Elephas maximus indicus: one gene and its partner. The protein of the gene in region 2 interacts with the protein of the main gene of each other region in a biochemical or structural test. Links are inferred from orthologs where the notes say so. Each region holds a gene or a part of one and is shown on either strand. Other genes may lie near its edges.

What was found.
Region 1: the proteins of SP1 (region 2) and RARA form a complex in vitro, tested with the Homo sapiens proteins (2 studies listed by BioGRID). The link is inferred for Elephas maximus indicus from reciprocal best matches to the Homo sapiens genes SP1 and RARA.

The regions. Positions count from the first base shown.
Region 1 is NC_064837.1:47,498,307-47,505,499, forward strand, and holds the start of RARA (retinoic acid receptor alpha), read left to right. Parts: upstream 1-4,180; 5' UTR 4,181-4,359; coding exon 4,360-4,514; intron 4,515-4,717; exon of another isoform or gene 4,718-4,725; coding exon 4,726-4,901; intron 4,902-5,444; exon of another isoform or gene 5,445-6,005; coding exon of another isoform or gene 6,006-6,174; intron 6,175-7,193. UniProt on the Homo sapiens protein: Receptor for retinoic acid. Retinoic acid receptors bind as heterodimers to their target response elements in response to their ligands, all-trans or 9-cis retinoic acid, and regulate gene expression in various biological processes.
Region 2 is NC_064822.1:108,874,490-108,881,428, forward strand, and holds the start of SP1 (transcription factor Sp1), read left to right. Parts: upstream 1-3,936; 5' UTR 3,937-4,020; coding exon 4,021-4,027; intron 4,028-5,067; coding exon 5,068-5,222; intron 5,223-5,548; coding exon 5,549-6,939. UniProt on the Homo sapiens protein: Transcription factor that can activate or repress transcription in response to physiological and pathological stimuli.

The DNA of each region.
Region 1 (7,193 bases), on a different chromosome or scaffold from region 2:
AAGGGGTTAATGGGCTTGTGTGTATTGGGTGGAGAGGGTCAGAGAGTTGAGCATGTTTTGGAAGAATCAAGTCAAGCACCAGGGAGGGGATCTCAGCTTGTTGGTGTGTTGGGGTTGGGGTGGGGTAGCTTAGGGCATAGAGTATGAAGGGGAGTGGTATGTGGATTGCTATATGTGTGTTTGAGGAGGGAGGGTCTCTATTTCCTTTTTTTTTTTTAATAATTTTTATTGTGCTTTAAGTGAAAGTTTACAAATCAAGTCAGTCTGTCACATATAAGCTTATATACACCTTACTACGTACTCCCATTTACTCTCCCCCTAATGAGTCGCTCTTGTAGGCTGGAAAGGAAAACTGCCCTGCCTTGTTTGTTGCTTGCCCTCAGAATTCAGGGGCAAAGGGGTCTGACTGGGGGCTTGGAGTACGCAGTGTGGCTTAGTGGTTAAGAGCTTAGATATTGGTGCCGGTTCTGGGTTCGAGTTCTGGCGTTGCTGCTTGCTATGTGTTGGTAACCTTTCTTAGCATGTTTCCTTGTCAGCCTAACAAGAATATTACGAGAACTTCCCTTAGAGGATGAGAATTAGGCAAGAACATAGACGTAATGACCTTAGCTGCAGCCTTGTGTGTGATGGTGGGGGTGCAGCGCCTACCACGTGGTAGTGAAAAGGAATTCAGGCCCTTTCTAGGTGGGAACTGGAGAGAAGGAATACCTACATCTGTGGGGCACCTACTGTGTGCTGAGGACTTTGTATATGTTGTACAAATCTTAATCCTTACAGTCCTGGGAGTGGGGCTTGGTTCCCATTTACACATGAGGAAACCGGGGCTGGCAGAGGCTAAGTGAGGGCAGAGCTGGGTCTGTGGGGTTGATAGCTGCAGGAGGGGCTTGTGGGGGCACTCCTGTGTGTGGAGAGCCTTGGGGGGTCAGTGCCATTGTTGACACCCCTGCCCCATGGCAGAGACCCTGCTTCTTCAGTCTGACCCCTGTCTTCCCCAGTAGGGGGCACAGGGAAGGACCCAGGCCACACTCCCTCTTCTCTGTTTTGGATGCTGAGGCTGGAGGGAAAGGGAGACTAGAGGCCAGGAAGATCCGCATCCTATCCTGGAAGCTGCAGATACAGTCTGTTAGCAGCCGTCCCCAGCCCGGAGTCTGCCCGCTGTAGCCTGTGGAGTCTGCAGAGCTCAGTGGGTACCCTCCTTCCAGACAGACACAGAAGGAACAGAATGGAAAAGCCACAGTTGTTATTCTTATTTTGTTTCAATTTGGGGAGTAGGGGCAGGGAAGTTGGAAGCACTCAATAGAGGAGCCAGGTGATGAGAGCCCCAAAAGAGTGGATCAAGACTTTTCTGTCCACATACTTGCTCTGTGTGCCTAGGACTGGGGGATGGCCACAGGATCTCTGGGTGTGCCCCTTCTCCTTGTCCCCCTTCTCTGCCACTTCCTCCCCTTTGCAGTCAGGGAAGGCATCCTGGAGGAAGGTGGCTGGGGCCTTTCCCAAGCCAGCTGCCTGTGCATCCTCCCTCCCTCTCCCTACTCTTTCCCTGGACAATAGGAGGGACAGCCCAGGGGGAGGGGGTATTGCCTAGCAAAGGCTTTCATAGGGTCCAAAATGCAGAATCAGCCAAAAGACTATGATCTGGGGCTTTGAATGAAAATGGGGCCCCTCACCTTTTATCTCCCAGCATTGATAATGCAGCGGCCCCCTCATGGGCAGGATCCCAGAAAGGGCTGGGGGAGGGGACAAAGGAAAGGAAGCCTGTCGCCCTCTCCACCCCATACCAATTGACATATGCTCCTGAGGCTACTCCCATGCAGGGCCTGACTGCCCTTTGGGGGTAACATCTGAGGAAGGAGGAAGTACTTCTCTTCTCCAAATCATTTTGGGGTGGCTCAGACTGCTTCCCTCCTCCAGCTCCCTCCTCTTCCCCCTCCTAGGAACGTGGGCACAGTACTGGCTAGGTCAAAAATAGAGGCCCTTCCCACTTCATTTTGATTTCTGGGTTGCTGGAAACCCCAGCTAGCCCATAGACCACAGCTCCCTTGGGCAGAAGTCTTAAAGGACACCTCTTCCTGCTCGGCCTTCAGCAGGTCGCCCTACCTCTTTCTGAGTCTGTTTCCTCCTCTTTAGATCCCTTCCTGGCTGGGCCAGTTGCTGTGAGGCCACTGTGACCCACTTGCTGGCCAGCGCTTGCTGGCGAGGGCTTGGATGAGCTGCAAGTATCTTGCAAGGGCAGTGATGATGGGGTGGAGCTAGGCATTGTCCTGGGAGATAGTCACCCTGTACTGGGACCCAATGTCTGCCTGGCACCGGGCCTCATGACTTCCTGTTTGTTGGGCCTCCAGATAGGGTTGGGGACAGGAGGGAACCCTGCCTGGCATAAGGTGGCCAGTTCAGCTCAGCCCACATGTGCTGAGGGCCTAATAAACGCAAAGCCCTGGAGGGGGGTGCGGCTGAAACAGGCCCCAGAACTGCCTTTTTCCCTCCTCTCCCACTGCCCTAGGACATGGCGTTCTGCTCTGACCCACTGCACGACCTTGCTCTTGCCCAGAACAGCCATCTCACCCCACACCCCCAGGTTCTCCTCCTGTCCTGCTCTGGAAATACTCTCCATCCTTTAAGGAACATCTTGCATGCTGCCTCTTCCCAGAAACCTTTGCAAATGTTTCCCCCTTTTTTTGCCACACTGTCTCCCCCTTCCTTGCATGCCTATGGGTCCTTATTTTTTCTCAAATAACACTCATTTACCACCTAGTTACACTACCCCGTCTTGTTCCTACTGTGAATTGCTATCACTTGGGAGGCCTGTCCCTGATCATAAGTTCTTTGATGGCAGGGACAGGGTCTTGGGTCCCTTAGTGCCTTGTAGCTCTGAACACAGAGCCTGGTGCATAACTGGTACCCAGGAGCTATATCATTTGGGAGGAAAGATACCAGGGTCTGTGATTCCTTGGCAATCTCATATACTCCCAATGCTTGCATACTTGCTCCAGGCCCCAGCCTTCCAGACCTCATATCTGAGTCCCACACCCACCTGTCCCAATAGCCCAGTGGACTTCTCTCTTTTGCGGTCTCAGGAGGAACTTTGCTGTTGCATAAGCCATACACCAGAACGTCCTCTCTGCTACCTCCTTTCCCATCCCCACATTGATTCTACCTTTAAAGGATCTCGTGACCCCACCTTCCTCTGTTCATCACCACTGCTAATTTCCTAGCCCAGGCCACCATTTTCTGTTGCCTGACCTGTTGCAGTAGCTTCTAACTTGTCTGTTGCCCTCCTACAATCCATTCTTTCCACAGCTGCTAGGAATATCTTTTGGGGCTATTAATCTGATCTTGCCTCTCCCCTCCTTGGAACCTTTCTGTGGCTTCCCATTGCGTTTAAGATAAAATCCAAAAGCCTTATTGGGGCCTTACAAGCCCACCTGTTCTTGTATCCCTTTTTCTCTTGAATTCTCTGCTCCAGCCACCCTGGTCATTTGTCAGTCCCTTGAATTAACTCACCAACTTCTGTAACCCCAGCACCTTTGCACACACTCTTACTGAGACGGTACTCTGTCCTACTCTGCCTGGTTCACTTCTACTCCTTCTTTAGGTTTCTGCTTTATTTTGAGGTCTTCCCTGATCCTTCAACCTAAATTAGGTACCTCCATTAATTTTCCTTTAAAGCACACTATGCTTATGTCATAATAGCACTTGTCTCAGTTTGCATTTATATATATGTGTGTGCATATATGTATATATGTCCTGGTGGTGTAGTGGTTAAGAGCTGTGGCTGCTAACCAAAAGGTCGGCAGTTCACATCCACCAGGCGCTCCTTGGAAACCCTATGGGGCACTTCTACTCTGTCCTTTAGGGACAGTATGAGTTGGAATCGACTCAATGGCAATGGGTTTGGTGTGTTTTAGATATATATATATATGTATACATGTATGTATATATAATTTGTGATTATTTGCTTAATGTCTGTTGCTCTGTAAGGTATACAAGGTCAGGGACTGTTTTGCTCACCAGGGTATCCGCATAGGAGGTGCTCAGAAAATAGTTTTTCTTGAGATACAATCCAGTTGGCCTGGCATGGTGGGAACATGGGCTTTGGCAGCAGAAAGTTCAGATATTCATTGTGCTCTTCATTGGTAGTGTGACCTGGGAACACCCACCCGTAGCTTTGCGGAGATCTCAGTTTATTTGTCAAATAGGAGTAATGCCCATTTATGTCTTGGAGTTCCTGTAAGGATTAAATGACAACATACATGAAGAACCTGGCTACTAGAAGAACATCCTTGGGAAGCATGTAATTTCCCATTCCTTTCTTTTTCAGAGGGAGGGAGCTTGGCGACAGGGTAAGAGGTGGGTAATGGGATGCCCCCTCCTCTAGGGTCATTCCCTCCTTCTAGGGAGCTACCTAACCTTGGTTTTTATTCAAATGAAATAGGCAACCTTGGGCTTCTGGGAGAAAGTGGTCAGCTGGAAGGCACCAACCCCCTCCTTTTCTCTCTCCAAGGCTGGACTGTGAGGTGGGGGCCCCCATCCTGGTTCCTGGGCTGGGAGACACTCTAGGCGGAGGAAGCATGCAGAGCAGAGCTTAGGGAGGAGAGCCCCCTCTATGTGTGTGTGTGCCAACAGCACCCGCCCGCGCTGCCTTGTAGGGTTCTGGCGGGCGGGAAGCCGGAGTCACACATGATGTCACAGACAATGACACAAGCCGGGTGTCTCATTCCGACACAGCGCCCCGGCTACGCAGTGTCACACCCCGGACACCCGACATGCCTCGTTCCTGGCGCTAACACTCGGTCGCTCACACCGCAGCCCTTACCCTCCCGTGTCCTCTCTCCCAGTGTATGGAGGAGCCGGCCAGGCCCGGCTGGGCAGGAGACCGGCCGGCCAGCCCCGGGGCAAGGCTGGTGAGCCGGTGGTGAGCGGGTGTTGTCACGGGCGGCGGTGGGTGGGTCATCCGGAGGTGAGGCACCGCCAGGCGAGTTCAGCCGTATTATATTAGGCAAATGAGACCCAGGCTAGGTGGGGGTGTGTGTTAGGAGGCGGACACCGAGACACCACCGCCTCCTCCTGCTCCCCCCTGGTTTGGCAGGGTATTGACCAAACCATCTGGGAGACCGGGAGGCAGAACGGGGGTGGGTGAAGACCCCCTCCCACGTCTGTCCTTGCCTCGGCCCCGCAGCCCACTCCTCTCCTGGTACCCTGCCTTCATCTGTACTCTGCTTACTCCTCCTCTTGTGCCTTTCTCCCCTTCCTCCCCCTCTTTTCTCCTCCCCTTCCCAGGCTCCCAATCCTCTCCTGTCCACATCCCGCCTCTCCCTGTCGTTCCCTGGTTCCCAGCGTGTTGCCCTCTGCAGCCAGACCCGCTAGGGAAGGGTTAAGCCAGGGGCGGTGCCTGAACCGGGCGGGGTGGAGGGGAGGGGGTGGGGCCTGAAGAGGAGGGGGTTCGCTGTGCTGGGGGTAGGGGGCACGGCGGGCACTGCTGGGGACCCAGCGAGGTGCCTGCTGCTACCCCGGGCCTCGGTGGAGGCGGAGCCGCGTGGGTCCCCACCCCCACCCGGAATCCTCACCCGGAGAAGCCCGGGAGCCCCGGCTGGGAGGAGGAAGTGCTCGGTGACCCCCTCCCGCCGCCCTGCGCCAATCCCACCCCCTGCCTGCGGACTTGGGGAGCGGGTGGACTCTGCTTCGGACACGAGGAGACTGAGACGGGAGCCCCTCGAGGTGAAGCCGCTGAGTTCCCGGGCCTCCGCCAGGCATTCCCTGGGAGAGCCGAGGGACACCCTCCCCCCAGCACGCACAACTTCCACGCTTTTCACCTGGGACTGGTGGAACTGCCAGCGGACTTAGACTCGGGGACTTAAGGGCAGGGGGCGGCTCCCTGCCTGGGCCACCAGTAGAGGTGGGGGGACGTGTCCCTCGCCCCCAGCGGCTTTCCACGGATGGCGCCCACGGCTGAGTGAGAGGGCGGTGCAGGACTTCCCCGCCCGGACCTCTTGTCTTCGCGGGGGAAGATGTACGAGAGTGTGGAAGTGGGGGGGCTCACCCCTTCCGCTAACCCCTTCCTAGTGGTGGATTTTTATAACCAGAACCGGGCCTGTTTGCTCCCGGAGAAAGGGCTTCCCGCCCCGGGCCCCTACTCCACCCCGCTCCGGACTCCGCTTTGGAATGGCTCAAACCACTGTACGTACCGGCCTCCCCTCTCTCATTGTAGGAGCTGCTGATGGGATGGGTGGCGGGGCCTTCACTCCTACCCAGGGATGCGAGCCTGGGGCACGTTGGTGGCTTGTTCCGACCCTTGACTTTCTCCTTAGTCCCGTTTGCTCAAACTCAGATGTCCTTGCTGGACAATTGGTGCGCCAGCCACCAACCATTGGGTGCTGTTTCTGTTTTGTTAGGTCTGAAGAACTTTGGGGGTTCTTTCTTTCAGGAGACATTCGTTCCTCTCTCCTCCCACTTCTTTCAGGGAAAATGAAGCCCCTTTCCCCCAGTTTATATTTTCTTGCTTAGAATCCAGTGCTTTGAAGCTGAGTGGTCCTTTCTCCCACCCTAGAGGGAGGGGTGAAGGTCCTGTCTGTGGGCTTGCCTGCTCTGAGGAGGAGGGGCCTCCTTCCCAGATTCTGCTCCTACCAAGGTCTGAGGGAGAGCCCCCTCCTGTGCAGCAGCTGCTGCCCCCAGCCCCTGCTCTTTGGACAGTAGAGTGTCAGGGGAGTGCTGCTGGCAGTGGGGTGTGACAGAAAGGGGAACCTGATCAGACACCCGGCTGCCATCCTAACCAGTCCTTACACCTTGGGAAGGGGCACCTGATCCATCTAGGGATTGTCCTGGCCCTAGACACTTGGTTGTCATCTTTGAGACTCCTGTCCCAGGAGTGGTGAGAAGCTGCTCTGGTGGGGAGAACCCCCCTCCCCCTAGTCTGGTTTGTTCTCTGGGGAGAAGTTCCGTTTTATGGGTCTGGGGCTACTCTGGAATTGAGGAATGCATCTATTCTCAACCCTGCTGTTTCCATTTGTTACCCTCTCTACAGTCAGGGATAGGGCCAGTCACTGGACTGTTACTTCCTAAGAGGGATGCTGCTAAGGACTCCTGGTGGCCTGGTCACCTTGCTCACCTGCTGCCTTATCTGGGTTCATGCTCCTCTGGAAGGGAAGGACTCTGAGCATCATCACAGGTGCTCTCAGGGCTGGGGTTACACACCTGGA
Region 2 (6,939 bases):
CAATGCTTCTCACATAAGGAAACAAAGGCACAGAAAGGGTACAGGATGAGTTGTTTTAAATAGTAATAATAATATCTGTAGCCAGGTTTTGGACTTCCCAAACAAAAAAAGCCTGCCTTGTTACAGTTCTTTTCTGGATTAGGCTCTTGCCTTTCCAGGGCCTTTAAAAGGCTGAGGGATGTGTGTGATGACCCATCCAGCCTCTACAGTCACCATTGCACTGCAAACGGTATTAGCCTACTAATTACAGACTGATGAGAAAAAAACTTAGGCTTGTTTTCTTGTTACAGAGAGCTAGAAAGTAAAGGTTAGAAGACTGTTTAGACATTATTATCTTAAGTCACTATTTTTTTTCTTCTTAGCTTTAGTTGAAAGTTTGCTGAAAGGCAAGGTTATAATGATGGTATAAAAGGAGGGTTTTGATCATCTGTATATTTTAATTTATAAAATGTTCCCAATTATCAGATAATTACCAGATCCATAACTGGGAAATTGATCAAAGCTGAAGAGTGGCTTCAGAATCAGGAAGAATGATTTATTCCATTGTGTGTCTCGAGACCTATTCAGGATGGTCACTACTAGGCCTCTCCTTTCATTTAACAGTGTTTACTGGGTGTCAACTATATGCTCTATCTTGAGAATACAAAATGAAAAGACATCATCTTTGTCCTCAAGTTGCCTAGTCTAGTTGGGGGACAATGGATACTTAGATACTTTTAATGGAGGTATGTAAAAAAGATATAGTGGACAGAATATTCAATACCTGGGAGTGGTAGGGAAGACTTCAGAGAAGTTGTACTTATCAAAGATACGAATAAGAGTTTGTCTGGTAGCCCAGAAGGAAGACGGGCTGAGTGGACTGTACTTATAAAAGTCCAGACTTTGAAGATCCCAGAAAGCATGGCTTTTGGGGGAAATTTCAACAAGAACAAAGTGAAGGGTAAGAGAGTACAGTGGACAGTAATGGATAATGAGCCTGAATAAGTGAAGGGCTGACCACTAAGAGACTTCAATGCCATGCTGCTGTGTTAGCACTTAGTATGTGTGAGGCTTACTACATCACAGCCAGGCACAATTCAAGTTCATAGGAATCACATTGCTCTTTAAAGAAAGTCCTTCGGAGTTATTTAAATGATCTTGCAAATGGTTTTGTAGACAGACACTGGAAGGATTTTGAGAAGACCTGAAATAAGTTTATGCATTAAAAACAAATTTTTTTGGTTTGGTCTAAAGAAATTTTTTTTTGCTACAGTTTTTGCAGGAGAATTGGACAAGATGGATCATGGTTCATTTGCTCTCAGAGACTATCAATAAGCAAGGATATGTCAAAGACATTCCTCATTGGTCAGGTGCTGAATTCTATCCAGTCCTAGGAAGAGCAAAGGGAAAGAATTGTGAAAGGGAGGATGGCTACTGAATTTGAGTCTAAATGTAGATCTTTTTCTCAGTACCTGGGAATAAAACCAAACCCTAGTTTCCATTTCAGGCATAGACTAGCTTATAAGAACTATGGGAAAAACAACAAAAAAACCCACAGGCTTTGGAGCTAAAACAACAGGCCATAATTTAAGTGTCTGAGCCTCTCTCTTCTCATCTGTAAAAGGGTATGGCGTCTCTTATTATCAGTTAAAAGGATTAAGTTAGACAATATATTTGAAGTGTTTAGAGAGTGTGCTAAAAATAGTTCCTTTCCCCTTCCCCAGTAAATTTAGGTGTGGTCTTTTGCTGACTATACTGAACAGCTGTTAGAATCTCCTGTGTTTAGTTTACCAAGATGAGTAATGCAGTTCTTCCCTTAGTGTTTCTCCAACTCTGGATTAGGAACTAATCACTTGAAAAAACGGCATAAAAATGCATATTCTTAAACCTCATCCCATACTCCACTACAGAGAATCTGATTTACTAGGTCTGGGGTGAGGCCTAGGAATCTGCTTCTTAAAAAAGCACCCCAGATGATTGTTACAGACTGATATTACATTTTGAGAAACTTTGATGTTGGTTAAGTGATAAAGTTTGTAATAAAGGTGTACAAGATGATGCCATTTCAGCTGCCCTGAGTGTATAAAAAAAAAAAGTGTATAGGTAGGTTTTTCTCAGGAGATAGAAAGTAACAATGCAAAAGCAGTTTTCTTCAAAAACAACAACAAAAATTGGAGAATGTCCTTATACAAATGGTTATATAAGGCATTGTTTTATTCACTTAACAATTTGTAGACTTTTTTTTGCGGAACTGTTCTGGTCTGGAATCTGGCTCAACTTAAAAGCTTTGTGACCTTGGGCAAATTATTTAACTTTTCAGCTTAAGTTTCTTCACTTATAAAATAATATTAACACTACTTAATAATATCGTTCTTATTAAGATGACAAAAGGTACGCAAAGCACCTAATCCACTTTGGCACCTAACACAGTAGGCATTCAACAATCACTTCATCGCTTCCAAGCCTTGCCCAAAGGACCAGAGCCTAAGTTCCTGCTTTCAAAGGGCTTAAAATCTTTTAGGGGAAATTCAGACTTTAAAACAGGAAAATATATAAAGAAGTGATAAGATAAAAGTGCTAAAGAGAATGACCTCATTACGTCACTTACAAGCCACCCAGTCGTCCTCCACTAAAACAGGGATAAAGAGGCAAAATGGAGGCCAGAACTTAAGGGGCCTCGGGCAAAACCATGTCCTTTAACTTTCGTCTCAAGAAACAGGAACTCGGCTATCTTGCTTTACACTTACGCGGTATTTACAATTAAGGGGGTTAAAAAAGGAAGCCGTTTAGGACCTTGGGGAGGTTCTCCAATGCACTTTAGCCCCAAAGAGAAACTCTTGAAAAGTTAACCCGCTGCAAGTAGCTTGTGCTTTCTCTGCGGGAACTTAATAGTGTTTGCTAGAGTCTCACAAAAACCTTGTAAATTGGTCAGCTCCGTATTAACTGATTTTGACAGTGCTGTCGCCAGATCTCACCTCGCCTACACTCACAGGGCTTACACCCACACTCAGAGGCATTCGTCGGCCTCGGGAGGGGTGAGAGGTACTTTCTAAGGGCGGTTCAATGAGGACTCAAACGAGCCGGGGTGGTGGGGCAGAACTGCGCGCTGAAGGGACTTCTTGGTCTTTGCCCTGACACCTGTGGAGCTACAGGGTACTGCTTAAGTGTACCATCTAATCACTGTAAAAGACGTCCCCTAAGGAGGGCCAATATGGCGACGAACTCCTCTTGGCACAGCCCTGTTCCCTTCCCCATGATGGGCGGCTCTAGTAACGCCCATTGGCCAACTTGGGGGCGGTCCCTGGCCTACTGCGCCCCTTCATTGGGCCGAGCGATTGAGGTAGACGCCAACTCTGCTCTGCCCCCTCCAGGTTCCCGCCCCCAGAGTTCATTCGGCGGATAATAGGGTTTTAGTCACGTCAATATGAGTCCTGATCTGTCTCTTTTCAGTGTCTATCCAATCATGACTTTTCTGGCTGCCCGCCTGAATTCTGATTGGTGTTGATCAACTTCATCCTCTCCCGTTCCGGCCTCTCCTCCCACAAGGACTTTGCCCAGGCATGTCCAGAATTCTGGTTGGTCGTTGTTCTGTCACTCTTATCAAAACTCTCCCTATCGCTACCGCTCAAGGAGCCCGCCTGGCAGTTGACTGGCTTCCCTCCAAGCCTATCATCTCCAGCTCCCGCCCATTTTCACTTCCTGCATCTTTCACTGGTTTTTAAAACTGAGAGGGCGGCATTTTGGGGCGGATACCAGGCACGCACTTCTGTCTTACACGCCCTAGAGAGCAATTGAGTCGTGCTATTGGATACCCTGCCCGCCTTTCTTCTACAAGTCCCGCCTTTCCCCCTCCTTCATTGGGCGGGGCAGCAGTGAAGGGGCGGGGCCTAGGCCGAGCTTGTGGCGCGCTGCTCCCTCCTCCTTACCCCCCCCCTCCCCGTCCGGTCCGGGTTCGCTTGCCTCGTCAGCGTCCGCGTTTTTCCCGGCCCCCCCCAACCCCCCCGGACAGGACCCCCTTGAGCTCGTCCCTCAGCTGCCACCATGAGCGGTAAGGATGAGTCCACTCCAAGCTTAGGGGTGGGAGGGGAGTGAGGGGGCGCGCGCGAGGGCCGACCGGGCGGTCCCCGCCGTGAGGGGGGGCGGGCGGGAGGCGGCGGCGGCGGCGGCCTTGGTCCCGCCCGGGGCGGAGGGAAGGGAGGGAGAAGGGGCAGTGGCGGGGCCTCGGAGGAGGAGGGGGATGGGCCGCCCGCCCCGGGGGAGGGGGCAGCGTGGCCTCGCCCGCCCCCTGCCCGCCCCGGCCACGGGGGACGGGCCTTACCCCCCACTACTCGACTGCCCGCCTGAGGCTCCTCCCGCCGGGGGCTGGAGCCGCGGGGGCGGCCCAAGCCGTGCAGGCCCCGCCCGGGCCAACCGCCTCTCTGGCCCGCCCTCTGGTCGCCGCCTGCCCCAAGGCCCTCCCCCCCCCCTTTTTCTGTATTTTCCCCTCCCCCCCATCGTCCCGCCCTTTCCACGCCCCTCACCCCGAAACCGCCCTTTCTCCCTAGGGCCCGCCTTCTCCCCGCCCCGAAACCTGATTTCTAATCCCAAGACCCCTTTAGCTCCTTACCTGTATTTACTAATGTGTCTCCACTCACATTTTTCATCATTTATCTTTCCCTTTTCTGTTCTCTTGTTACTTTCTATGTTTGTATTTTTTTCTTTTTCCGTGTCCTTTAACACTAATTTTAGCAAGCTTTCCATCCACCCACATGTTGTTTTTTGCCTTACCTGGCCTTCTCCCTTTTTTCCCCTGGCATGTTTTTTATTTTAAAACTCTTTCAACATACCCACAGTCCCTCACATTTCCTATCCCAAAAGCATTTTTTGAATGTTTTCTGAGTTTAATTTTGTACAAAGGAAAATTGAGGCCCAGTTCTGGCACCATAGAGCCTGGTTCACGTCATATTGTCCTACAACTGCTCCCCCCTAATCCATTTTCTTTCAACAGGCACCTTTTACCTTCCTATTAGTCATTTCTGTTTCATCATAATGTTCTTTTACCCTTTTTTTCTCCCCAATTTTATGTTGTTTATTTTTATTTCATTCTAGAACAAGATCACTCCATGGATGAAATGACAACAGTGGTGAAGATTGAAAAAGGAGTTGGTGGCAATAATGGGGGCAGTGGTAATGGTGGTGGTGCCTTTTCTCAGGCTCGCAGCAGCAGCACAGGCAGTAGCAGCAGTGGAGGAGGAGGAGGTCAGGTAAGTGATGATTAGAGATAAAGTGTGGGGAATATGTTGAGAGCATGTAAATACTCCTAGATAATTGTTTTAACTACTCACACAAAAAATTTTAGGAAAGGACTAAACAGTTTTACAGATAGAGGAAGTAAGTATAGAGAGAGAGAAATGACTTGGAGATCCCCAGAGATGGAAATTGCAGCAATACAGATAGATTGGTTTTTTTGTTTCTGGTTTTTAGTCGTTATTTGTCTGCACTATTTTGTTCTTTATTTGTTGTGCACTGTCCTCCTAGGCTGGCAGCTGGGTGTCAATAACTCCTTTTCTCTTCCTTGTTTTCTGACCAGGAGTCCCAGCCATCCCCTTTGGCTCTTTTAGCAGCAACTTGCAGCAGAATTGAGTCACCCAATGAAAACAGCAACAATTCCCAGGGCCCAAGCCAGTCAGGGGGCACAGGTGAGCTGGACCTTGCAGCCACACAACTCTCACAGGGTGCCAATGGCTGGCAGATTATCTCTTCCTCCTCTGGGGCTACCCCTACCTCAAAGGAGCAGAGTGGCAGCAGCACTAATGGCGGCAATGGCAGTGAGTCTTCCAAGAATCGCACGGTTTCTGGTGGGCAGTATGTTGTGGCTGCGGCCCCCAATTTGCAGAACCAGCAAGTCCTAACAGGACTGCCTGGGGTGATGCCCAATATTCAGTATCAAGTAATCCCACAGTTCCAGACCGTTGATGGGCAGCAGCTGCAATTTGCAGCCACTGGGGCCCAAGTGCAGCAGGATGGTTCTGGTCAAATTCAGATCATACCAGGTGCAAACCAACAGATTATCACAAATCGAGGAAGTGGAGGCAACATCATTGCTGCTATGCCAAACCTGCTCCAGCAGGCTGTCCCCCTGCAAGGCCTGGCTAATAATGTGCTCTCAGGACAGACTCAGTATGTGACCAATGTACCAGTGGCCCTGAATGGGAACATCACCTTGCTACCTGTCAACAGCGTTTCTGCAGCTACCTTGACTCCCAGCTCTCAGGCAGTCACGATCAGCAGCTCTGGGTCCCAGGAGAGTGGCTCACAGCCTGTCACCTCAGGGACTGCCATCAGTTCTGCTAGTCTGGTATCACAAGCCAGTTCCAGCTCCTTTTTCACCAATGCCAATAGCTACTCAACAACTACTACCACCAGCAACATGGGAATTATGAACTTTACCACCAGCGGATCAGCAGGGACCAACTCTCAAGGCCAGACACCCCAGAGGGTCAGTGGGCTACAGGGGTCTGATGCTCTGAACATCCAGCAGAACCAGACATCTGGAGGCTCACTGCAAACAAGTCAGCAAAAAGAGGGAGAGCAAAACCAGCAGACACAGCAACAACAGATTCTTATTCAGCCTCAGCTAGTTCAAGGGGGACAGGCCCTTCAGGCCCTTCAAGCAGCACCACTGTCAGGGCAGACCTTTACAACTCAAGCTATCTCCCAGGAAACCCTCCAGAACCTCCAGCTTCAGGCTGTTCCAAACTCTGGCCCTATCATCATCCGGACACCAACGGTGGGGCCCAATGGACAGGTCAGTTGGCAGACTCTTCAGCTGCAGAACCTCCAAGTTCAGAACCCACAGGCCCAGACAATCACCTTGGCTCCAATGCAGGGTGTTTCCTTGGGGCAGACAAGCAGCAGCAACACCACCCTTACACCCATTGCCTCAGCTGCCTCCATCCCTGCTGGCACAGTCACTGTGAA